Arabidopsis thaliana: one gene and its partner. The protein of the gene in region 2 interacts with the protein of the main gene of each other region in a biochemical or structural test. Each region holds a gene or a part of one and is shown on either strand. Other genes may lie near its edges.

Region 1 (5,881 bases), on a different chromosome or scaffold from region 2:
CTAACGGATAAACCCTTATTATTTTGACTGGTTAATTGTTATCTCAAAGAAAAAGTATTTAACATCCTGACTTTAAATTTAGAAAAGTTCATCGACTATTTGTGATGTCCCTTCAAAAAGATTAAAAAACCATAACAAAAGTTAAATGTTTCTCTGGGTTGTACAAATGTTAGATGTTAACTGGACCAGATCACATATAATATAAGAAAATGAACCTGATTAATTCTCTTTACTGAGCTAAATTTTTTACTGACAAGTCTATCAAATTTTACCATCATACTTAAATCCTCAAAAACACATAAACTATACAGTACTTTTTTCTTATTACGTATTTACTATTCTATGCATGAAATTGCGTAAATGTTTGGTTGTATGCATATTAGAATATTCTTTTTATTTTTCTCTCCAACAGATTTAATATTGAACGGTGGTGTTCGTATGATATAAATTCAAAACCACCCACCTTTTATCCTTTCGAACTTTTTCGAGATAGGATAAGATGACATAATTATTTTATTTGTAATTTAGGAAAAGGGGTAGGCCTTTTTTTTTTTCTTTCAAATTAATGATTGTGGGGCTAAAAAAAATAATTTGTGTCCAACACAGGATATAATATTTTGAAACTTGAACGTAAATGTTGACTTTTGATTTTTTTTTCTTCTCAGCTTTTGTTAAATTTAAACTCGTTCCCTTATCAGATTTATTAAAATGGTGAGTGACGAAAAAAAAAAAAATGGTGAGTGAAACGTTAGAGAAATCGACGTATGAAATGAAATTATGAGAGTGTACAGAGAAATATTTGAACAATACTTAGAGCTGACAACAAATTCAAACACTGAATTAGTTCTTGAAGACAAACTCGCTCTTTGCTATAGTTGAGGAGAAGAATCCCACATACTCAATTATAGATCGAGAACGAATCTTTACGTTTTAGTTTTCTTGTCACATTTACTATGTAAAATGGTTCATATTATTATTAAATTTTCATTTATTTTCAAAATAAATTTTTTACAAATATATATATATTTTAATATGATGTTAAAGGTTTTTGTACATAAATTACCTTTTAATTTTGTTTGGTTTATTTAGAAATCAAAATGTAATTTATTATCTACCTAAAAACACGGTTCTTTCAGTATAAAAATTTACAGAATATAAATCATTAAAAGCAAATAACTAATTAGTATTGTATTAAAAATTAAACACTTATCTAATAATACAAAACTTTTGTTCTAAAACATGAAAACGGAAGAAGTATGTTTCTTTTAAAACTATGAAATTCATATACCATATTCAGTTTTATTTAATATCATTTAATATGAATCGACTACCTCATAATTATACAATATAGCAAACTAGGGACCATCTTATCTTTTACGTGATTCCTAAAACATAAATATTTATGGGAATGTTGCCCAAAAAAAAAAATATATATATATATATATTTATGGGAATTTTATCATTTTCTTCCTATTAAGAAAAACCTCAAAAATAAAAATATTAAAATACAAAAGGAAAACATAAAAGCACAAACGAATATTCCAAATATAAACTAAAAATAATACTCATAAACCCAAAAATACATTTTTCCTTTCCCGAAATTCTTTTTTTTGTTAATATTATTATCATGACAAGACGAAATTTACTCAAAAGGCTACGAACCAAAGCCATGTGATGACTACATCAGTACCACGTGTCAAGATCTAAGGACTTAACGAGTTACGAGTGTGTCGTGGGCCATCGACCATGGAAAAGCAACGAGTCTTTAGGTGAATGTTTTACTTGCTATAACCGGTAACAACGGGTCTGGTAATACCGGTAGCTCCGGTGGTTGGTTGAGTTATATGGCTATGGGGGTTTAAGCAAGAAAGACGTGGTCGTGTTCTTCTTATAAGGGTTTTTGTTTATAATTTGGTAATCGAAAAAGAGAGATTTGATAAAATCCTTTGTGTTGAAGGAAAAAAAAATCATATAGGTAACGTTTGATACAAGTAAAAAAAAAAAATTTCCATCACTTTCTTGGGTAAAAAAAACATGGGTTAGAGGAAAAACTGGGGAAAAGATTTTAGATTAAGTGCGTAAAGAATTCTGATTCCTTCGTCTCCGATCTCTCATTTTTCTGGAGAAATTGTCAAAAATTTCAGATATCTATATTGTCTTGGAACTGAAGATTCATCGAAAGGTGAGAAAGATTTAAACTTTTTTTGATGGTTTTTGTGTTCTCGATTTTGTCAAAAGTTTTTGTGTTTGTTTGATCATCGAGAAACTTAGTAAAAATTCATTTTTTATGTGAATTTAGATTTGGAATTTTCAAATTCAAGTTCTTTTGGTTTGGATCTTAAAAGGGTTTTTGTTATCTTTTTGAACTTATCATCATCTTCGATTGAAATTTTTCGTTTTCTTATATGATCAGAATCATCTCATTCATCGATCTGTGAACTCCGATCTGAGAATTTGAAAGTGTCTCTCTTTTTGTTCTAAGTTGATCTGTTTATCCTTTAATTCAAAGATCGAAGCTTTTTTATAATTGAATTACGTTTTGTGTTCTTCAATTCGGATCTTGTGTTTATTAGGGTTTTAGAATGGTTTATCAGATTTGATTTGATATTACCGATCTGTGATTCTTGAATTGAATTGAGTCTTCTTATGGTTCTTGTTTCTTATATACTACAGATTGGTGAGTTTTATTCGCTGCTTATCGCTTGTGGCAATCACATCATCTGTGTTATGCATCCAAGTAATGGTGTCACATAAAGTCTTAGAATTTGGAGATGATGGTTACAAATTACCTGCTCAAGCTCGAGCTCCGAGATCACTCCGGGTAAATGACCCTTTGCTATATTCTCTGTTTAGCTGTTAAAGAATTTATCAGTTACATGAATGATCACTCGCATGTTTGTTCACATTTTTGCTAGAAGAAGCGCATTTACGAAAAGAAGATACCAGGAGATGATAAGATGTGCGCGATTGACTTATTGGCCACCGTAGCTGGAAGCTTGCTTCTCGAGAGCAAAAGTCCGGTAAACGCGTGTCTAGTTGTACAAAATACTGTAAAGAATGAATACCCGGCTGATGAAAACCCCGTAAAGGCGGTTCCTTATTCGGAATCCCCGAGCCTATTTGACAATGGCAAGTGTGGATTTAGCTCTGTGATAACAAATCCTAATCACTTGTTGGTAGGTGACAAAGTAGGAAAGGAGGTGGAGGGTTTTAGTAGTTTGGGTGTGAGTGGTGATGTAAAGCCTGATGTTGTAGCTAGTATAGGTAGTAACAGTAGTACCGAGGTGGGAGCATGTGGGAACGGTAGTCCCAACGAGTCTCGGGATGATGTAAATTTGTTTAGTAGAAATGATGATGATGAAAACTTTTCGGGTTACATTCGAACTCGTATGACTAGGCCTGTGCCTCGTATTGGAGACAGAAGAATTAGGAAGATATTGGCATCTAGACATTGGAAAGGAGGTTCGAAGAACAACACAGGTAAAATCGCCTTTTGTTTTAGTTTTGACTATCTTTATTATTGTGATTTGATGTTTGGTATTTGCAGATGCAAAGCCATGGTATTGCTCAAAGAGGAGTTATTACTTGCACCATCATCAGAGGAGTTATCCCATCAAGAAAAGGAAATACTTTGACAGTGTTTACGACTCGAACTCTGATGATTACCGTTTGCAAGGAAAGACTCATAAAGGTCCAAAACTTGTAATCTTCTCATTCTCTTGTTAGTATGTTGTAAGTCTTTGCTGTTGTAACACGGTTTTGCAAATTCATCCGCAGGAAGCAGAACAATATCTTCCATGAAAAGTCGAAATGCGTCCTTTGTGTCAAGGGATCATCATGGTAATTTAATGGAGTCTCAAGTCTCAATCTATCCTTTGTTCGCTTATTGTTTCGTTGAAATATTTTTGTTTTGTTTTGTTACTCTTTAGTGAAGCTGCGGATCAAGTCTTTTAGGGTGCCTGAGCTTTTCGTAGAGATTCCAGAAACTGCTACTGTTGGCTCCTTGAAGGTGTAATAACAAAACCTAGTTGTGCTGAAAATCCTGATCAAGAAGAACTTATATTTGTATTTTTGTAATGTCGGGGTTGTCAGCGGATGGTGATGGAAGCAGTGACCACCATACTGGGTGATGGACTTCGAGTCGGGCTGATGGTTCAAGGAAAGAAAGTCCGAGATGATGGCAAAACTCTTCTTCAGACTGGGATCTCTGAGGAGAACAACCACTTGGATTCTCTTGGTTTCAGCCTTGAACCTAGCTTAGAGACCACCCCTCAACCACTGTTATCCAGGTTCACTCTTCTCTTCACTCTCAGAGATGCCACATCGATAAAAAATCAATCTTTTGCGGCTTAAGGGCCTTGTTTTCTCTCTGCCAGTTATCTGTCAGATCATGCCTGTGATGATGTGACGTTATGCCACGACAATGCGTTGGATTCTAGTCATGAGCCAGAACCATCCCCAGCTGACTCATTTGGGAAACTAGGCACAAGTGATCATTCTAGAGCTTTGATTCCTGTTGCCTCAGCAGCAATGCTGGCTCCTCGGCCTCCTAACCGTAAGTTTAAAAGGACTGAGCAGCAGCTAGCTGCACAACGCAGAATTCGTCGACCTTTCTCAGTTACTGAAGTAGAAGCACTGGTCCAAGCCGTTGAGAAACTCGGAACCGGAAGGTACAAAACAAAGAAATAGCACTTTCTCTTCTTCATGTTGCTGACAAAATGTGTTTGAAAACTACAGGTGGAGAGATGTGAAGGTTCGTGCTTTCGAGGACGCAGACCATCGTACCTATGTTGATCTCAAGGTTAGTTAGTTTTTTAACTAACTCTTAACCTTAATATATACAGTTTGGTATTGAGTCTTTGCCTTTGTAGGATAAGTGGAAGACGCTGGTCCACACGGCAAGGATATCTCCACAACAGCGGAGAGGAGAGCCGGTGCCACAGGAACTTCTGGACCGTGTTTTGAAGGCACACGCTTACTGGTCACAACACCTAATGCATCAACTGCAGACTGAGCCACCATCCACTCAGGTAGAGGCTCTCTAATCTGAACAGGTTCTTGGTCTAAAGAACCTTTGTGTATTATTATGATGATCCATATTGTAAGATTCTGACATAGTTGAAGATCTGGTCTCAGTTCTTCTTTGTTTTTTTTTTTCTTTCTTTCAAATGTAAAGTTTTATAATTGGAAATAAGGTTGGGTTTTTTCTAACAATGTAAAGGATTTGTTGTAAATCTTTGGTGACATTTTTATTCTGTCTATATGATTTATGGCTCGGCCTATCATATCACAACGACAACGAACTGATATATATATACCTCATCCAAACTCTAGGAGTGCTGGAGAATTCAATTGTTGGATAAATTGTTACTCAAGCTGGTCTATGTTTGGTCAGTTTATGGTTCACATGTGTCCTATATTAGGAAAGAATACACAGAAGCTTGTGCTTGTGAGTGGTATGTGTGCTATGGTATTTACCTTAAATACGGGTCGTTCAGAGTAATAAGCTGGTCTCAAAGCCTCTTTTAAAGGCTATAGCCACAAACAAAGGCACAAAATCCTGGATCTCTAACCAGTAAAGAAGTCGATGTTGAACTAAAGTTCGCAAATATTTGCAGATAGCATTGAGTAGGCAAGCTCTTCCCACTTTTTTTTTTTTTTTTTTCACTGAACTGTTGCCTTTCATTGAATATTGGAGTTTGTGAAAAAATTTAAAGCAATTAGCAATAAAATCAAAAGGATATTGAAGTTTACATTTGGACCTGGACGAGATAATAGAGGATAACGTTCAATTTATTAGAAGTTATGATGACTGATATATTTACCGATTTAAAACTAATATATTTAGCAACTTGACGCAGCAAGAAAATTATGATTCTTA
Region 2 (5,611 bases):
AGGTTCCCAAGTTCAGAAAACCAAATCCGCCGTTACTCGTAACGGAGCTCCGTCATGGAACGAAGATCTACTCTTCGTAGCCGCCGAACCTTTCTCCGATCAGCTTGTTTTCACGTTGGAGTATCGAACATCGAAAGGACCAGTCACCGTCGGAATGGCTCGCGTGCCACTCAGCGCAATCGAGAGACGCGTCGACGATCGCTTGGTTGCTTCGAGATGGTTAGGATTGGAAGATCCAAACGACGAGAAGAGAGGAAACAGATCTAGAGTTCACATTAGGCTTTGCTTCGACGGAGGTTATCACGTGATGGACGAGGCGGCGCACGTGTGCAGTGATTACCGACCTACGGCGAGGCAGTTATGGAAACCAGCGGTGGGAATCGTCGAGCTCGGTATAATCGGTTGCAAAAATCTATTACCGATGAAGACGGTTAACGGAAAAGGATCAACGGACGCGTACACGGTGGCGAAATACGGTTCTAAATGGGTCCGTACCCGAACCGTGTCGGATTCTTTAGATCCGAAATGGAACGAACAGTACACGTGGAAAGTATACGATCCGTGTACGGTTTTGACTATAGGAGTCTTCGATAGCTGGGGAGTATACGAAGTCGACGGTGGAAAAGAAGCCACGCGTCAAGATCTAAGAATTGGAAAAGTACGTATACGTATATCGACGCTGGAGACTGGTAAAGCGTATAGAAATACGTATCCGTTACTGATGTTAGTTAACGGCGGCGTTAAAAAATTGGGAGAGATAGAATTGGCCGTTAGATTCGTGAGAACAGCTCCACCGTTGGATTTCTTACACGTGTATACTCAACCGTTATTGCCTTTGATGCATCACATTAAACCGTTGAGTTTGTTTCAAGAAGATATGTTGAGGAACACTGCAGTGAAGATCTTGGCCGCACATTTGTCACGATCTGAGCCGCCTTTAAGGCCGGAGATAGTACGGTATATGCTCGACGCCGATACTCATACTTTCAGTATGCGTAAAGTCAGAGCAAATTGGCTTCGGATAGTGAATGTAGTCGCCGGAATGGTCGACGTGGTGCGGTGGGTTGATGACACCCGTTTCTGGAAGAATCCGACATCAACTTTACTAGTTCACGCACTTGTCGTGATGCTGATTTGGTTCCCGGATCTTATCGTACCGACATTAGCGTTTTACTTGTTCGTGATTGGTGCGTGGAATTATAGGTTCAGGTCACGTGCTGCTCTACCACATTTCGATCCAAGACTCTCGTTAGCTGATGCAGCTGATAGAGACGAGCTCGACGAGGAGTTTGACGTCGTACCGAGCAACCGACCACCGGAGATGGTTCGGTTGAGGTACGATAAGCTACGAAACGTCGGAGCTAGAGTTCAAACGATTCTTGGTGAAGTGGCTGCGCAAGGGGAGAAGATGCAAGCTTTGGTGACGTGGCGTGACCCACGAGCGACTGGTATATTCGTGGGGCTGTGTTTCTTTGTGGCGTTGGTGTTGTATCTTGTGCCGACGAAGATGGTGGCTATGGCGTCAGGGTTTTATTACTTCCGGCATCCTATTTTCCGTGATCGGAAACCTTCTCCGGTGTTAAATTTCTTCCGGCGACTACCATCATTATCTGATCGGCTCATGTAATATTGTTTTTTTTTTTGGAGGGGATGTATATATAGTTTGGGTCGTTTAACCTTGTTGGGCCTTATTGGGTTATAATGGGCCACTAAATGGATTTTTATATGATTTCCTATTATAGGTGCTGTGTTTGACCATGTCTAAAACAAAGAAGTGTTTGGTATGACAAAATTGATGAACCTACTTTTTGAGCAGAGTGGTAAATGTGCGGAAATAAGCACACAAGGAAATCGTTGTTGGTGACTAACAAAAGGAGTTATCCACTGCCCAAGCATTACCAACTACCACCAACCAAACTCAATTTGGAAATTTCAAAGGTCCATTAGTCAAAGCAGCATTAAGTCATTCAGTAATCAACAAATATATTCATATGAAACCCAAAATAAAATAAAATAAACACTTTTCAAGAAAAAAATAAAATACTGAGTACTAAACTGGAAACCCTTTATAAGCAAAAAGACCAAAAGTTAAAAGTTAATTAAGATTTGGTTTAAGGCGCTTTGCTTTATTAGAGAGGAAGGAACGAACCATCATAGAAATCTCTCCTTCGTTCAAGTTTTTCTCTACTGTGTTGGTTGAGCAATCGAGTGATGGTTATTGCGGTGGCGACGACGAGCTCCATTGTTTCCGGAATCAAGCTTTCAGGGATCTTAACTTCGTTCAACGCCGTAGATGATGCGTCCAGTAGTTGCGGAAGAAGCAACTTGACCGGAGTTAGAATTTTTCCGACATTGAGTCGGCGACGATTCTCATCGATCGGAGCTGTTTCCCCAATTCGTGGGGATGCTCAATCTTCCTTTAGTCGCAGGTAAAGCCTCGATTTTTGGGTTTAGGTGTCTGCTTATTAGAGTAAAAACACATCCTTTGAAATTGTTTGTGGTCATTTGATTGTGCTCTTGATCCATTGAATTGCTGCAGCTCTTTCGCTTGCTCTCAGAATCTCGGTTTGAGCGGTGGATTTAGTGCAGCTGAAGCTCTGCCACCTGCTTGTGCAAATGCTAGCCCTTCTTCCATTAAATCTTTCAACCAGGTGACTCTTCATTTCTATTTTCAGGATAAGTTTGTGGTTTGATGATCCCTTGTTTCTAAGTCTCTTGATTTGTGAACAATTCAGGGTTTTTATATATCTGTATCTGTATTTCTGAGTTGGGTTGAGTTATTGGCTTCATGCTGACTAAACATGTTTGGCCCTGTGTGTTCTTCGAATTTCATTTTAATTGCTTGATGGGTTTTATTGACTTGAGTAAAAGTGTACTACTTTATAGGTTTTAAAAGAGTTTTACTTTTGGTGATTTTCCAATGGCTTTGAAGAGAGAGATTTAAATCATGGGGTTACTATGTTCTCATACTGCGTTTGCTCTGTTCTGTTGTTTTTCTTTCAGTTGATTGAAACCTTGATTGATCGGGTTGATCTATCTGAAACTGAGGCTGAATCATCTCTTGAGTTTTTGCTGAATGAGGCAAACGAGGCGCTGATCAGTGCCTTTCTAGTTCTTCTGAGAGCTAAAGGAGAGACATACGAAGAGGTAAGTATCCATTAAGTCAATCTAGGCTTATAATAAAAAAGTATACATAATCCTATATTACTGCACTTCAATAAGTTAACTCAACGTTCACTTTAATTCGGATATTGGGTAGATTGTGGGGTTAGCTAGGGCAATGATGAAGCATGCCAGGAAAGTGGAAGGATTAGTTGATGCTGTGGACATAGTTGGAACAGGTGGTGATGGAGCAAACACAGTCAATATATCAACTGGATCTTCAATACTTGCTGCAGCTTGTGGTGCAAAAGTAGCAAAGGTATAACGAATGAGAAAATCCTTAAAAGAAACGATATATTTAAATTTTGACTATCTGCATTAATGCTAAATGATCTTCGTCTGGTCGTCTAACTAATGGATACTTATTTTGCAGCAAGGGAATCGTTCAAGTTCTTCTGCTTGTGGAAGTGCTGATGTACTAGAGGCACTAGGAGTGGTTCTGGACTTGGGACCAGAGGGCATTAAAAGATGTGTTGAAGAAGGGGGGATCGGTTTTATGATGTCACCAATGTATCATCCAGCTATGAAGATCGTTGGTCCTGTTCGGAAAAAGCTTAAAATTAAAACTGTTTTTAACATATTGGGACCTATGCTTAATCCTGCTAGAGTTTCTTATGCTGTCGTTGGTGTATACCACAAAGATCTGGTACATTTACTTATTGCTGAAATTAGTTTGTTCATCAACAAAAACAAGACATTTACTTACCATTTGCTTGTGTGGTTTCATAGGTTGTTAAGATGGCAAAGGCACTGCAACGATTTGGAATGAAAAGAGCACTGGTGGTTCATTCATGTGGTCTAGACGAAATGAGTCCGTTAGGTAAGATTATCTCTTCCCAAAATTGATTACTTTTATTATTGAACAATTATTAACCAATCATGGCTTAACGAAAAACAGGAGGAGGACTAGTTTATGATGTAACTCCGGAAAAGATCGAAGAATTCTCATTCGACCCATGTAATGTTTCCTCTAGCTTTTTATCCCTTCTCTAAAATGAATATTGCAGATGCAGCTTAATGAAATTGAAGCTTATTTCTTTTTGACAGTGGACTTTGGTATTCCTCGTTGTACTCTTGAGGATTTGCGAGGTGGAGGTCCAGACTACAATGCGGATGTGCTAAGACGTGTGCTTTCAGGGGAAAGTGGAGCAATTGCGGATTCATTGGTATGTTTTGATTTGCCGATTCAACATTCTCTGAACTTCTGCAATTTGTTCATCCTTTTTTTTCAAAATCTTGTTTCAGATCCTAAACGCAGCTGCAGCTCTTCTGGTTAGCAACCGAGTTCAAACGCTAGCTGAAGGAGTAACCGTGGCACGTGAAGTACAATCGTCTGGGAAAGCTATCAAGACGCTTGATTCTTGGATAAACATCTCAAACTTAGCTCAGAAATCTCAGTGACCAGAAGAGGCTTATGATATTGTTGTATTCAACGGATCACCTTTGCAAGCAATTGTAGATGAAGATGGAGGCAATGTGCCAAAGGAAGAAGCTGGAGTTATTTGTAACTTAAGTTTTCTTTGTCAAACAATAAAGAGAAGAGACCGGAGCGAGCTCTATACACATTCATCATGTAAACACTACAACAATAATCTTTAATAAAATGAATAAATCTGTTTTACTCAAACGGAGTTCAGATTCATCATTGGGATACAAATCAAACCTAAGTAGTAAGTAGAAAAACAAAATTATAAAATTAGTCCTAACATTGAATCACAGACCATAATCTTGTTCCGAAGTTCTTCACTAATTCTGCAACTACACCTAAAATATCATCATCGTCATGGTGTCTATTCTTTGGAGACTTTCACACGCATCTCTGTCGGTTTGATGAGCTTGAACGTACAAACATCTCCGACCAGTAAACCTAACTCCTTGGCCAAACGACTCCATCCACCAGAGAATCTTGATTGTACATCAGTGACCACATATGTAACATCCCATGACTTCTTTCCTCTCGGATAATGAATCTTGAACATCGTTGTCTCAGTTGGCATATGCATATCCACAAATTTCTTTGGGATCCCCTGAATCACAGATTTTCATTAGATTAATACACACTTTTATACATAGCCATTTCGACAGTGTGTCACTGGTCTTGTCTTGCTTAATCTTACCAAGAACAGAAGGTGTGATTTCTTTATGGTGAGCTTGAATTCTGGAATAAGAGATGAAGTACCGGCTTCAGAGTCGTTACTAACAGTTTCCACCTTCTTCTTCTTACTCGTCTTGGATTTTTCGGTTTTATCGGCTTCCTTCTTTCTCAAGTTAAGCTCCTGTTTCTGCGTCAATCTCCCACTTGTAGATTCAGCTGTTTTGTGACAAGGATGGCTCGATTCAGACCAAGACTCTATCTCTTCTTCCTTCTTCACATCTTTGTAGATGCTCTTCCTCTCTTCTCTCTTGTTCCGACCTGTTTGCATCAAAATCAACCACAGAAGTAACTAAT

Evidence for each region. The genes of interacting proteins can lie anywhere in the genome.
Region 1: the proteins of TRP1 (region 2) and TRFL1 form a complex in vitro, tested with the Arabidopsis thaliana proteins (one study listed by BioGRID).

Annotation. Positions count from the first base shown.
Region 1 is NC_003074.8:17,150,902-17,156,782, forward strand, and holds TRFL1 (TRF-like 1), read left to right. Parts: upstream 1-1,558; 5' UTR 1,559-2,182; intron 2,183-2,673; 5' UTR 2,674-2,740; coding exon 2,741-2,821; intron 2,822-2,845; exon of another isoform or gene 2,846-2,915; coding exon 2,916-3,480; intron 3,481-3,547; coding exon 3,548-3,691; intron 3,692-3,777; coding exon 3,778-3,840; intron 3,841-3,929; coding exon 3,930-4,009; intron 4,010-4,092; coding exon 4,093-4,289; coding exon of another isoform or gene 4,290-4,353; exon of another isoform or gene 4,354-4,376; coding exon 4,377-4,670; intron 4,671-4,737; coding exon 4,738-4,801; intron 4,802-4,871; coding exon 4,872-5,045; 3' UTR 5,046-5,339; downstream 5,340-5,881. UniProt on the Arabidopsis thaliana protein: Binds specifically to the plant telomeric double-stranded DNA sequences. At least 2 repeats of telomeric sequences are required for binding. Induces DNA bending.
Region 2 is NC_003076.8:5,955,119-5,960,729, forward strand, and holds TRP1 (tryptophan biosynthesis 1), read left to right. Parts: upstream 1-1,961; 5' UTR 1,962-2,211; coding exon 2,212-2,429; intron 2,430-2,539; coding exon 2,540-2,651; intron 2,652-3,003; coding exon 3,004-3,147; intron 3,148-3,259; coding exon 3,260-3,421; intron 3,422-3,535; coding exon 3,536-3,808; intron 3,809-3,891; coding exon 3,892-3,982; intron 3,983-4,060; coding exon 4,061-4,120; intron 4,121-4,209; coding exon 4,210-4,328; intron 4,329-4,407; coding exon 4,408-4,563; 3' UTR 4,564-4,952; downstream 4,953-5,611. Other genes in the region: AT5G17980 (C2 calcium/lipid-binding plant phosphoribosyltransferase family protein), read left to right, coding at 1-1,627; VDD (VERDANDI), read right to left, coding at 4,953-5,189, 5,280-5,575.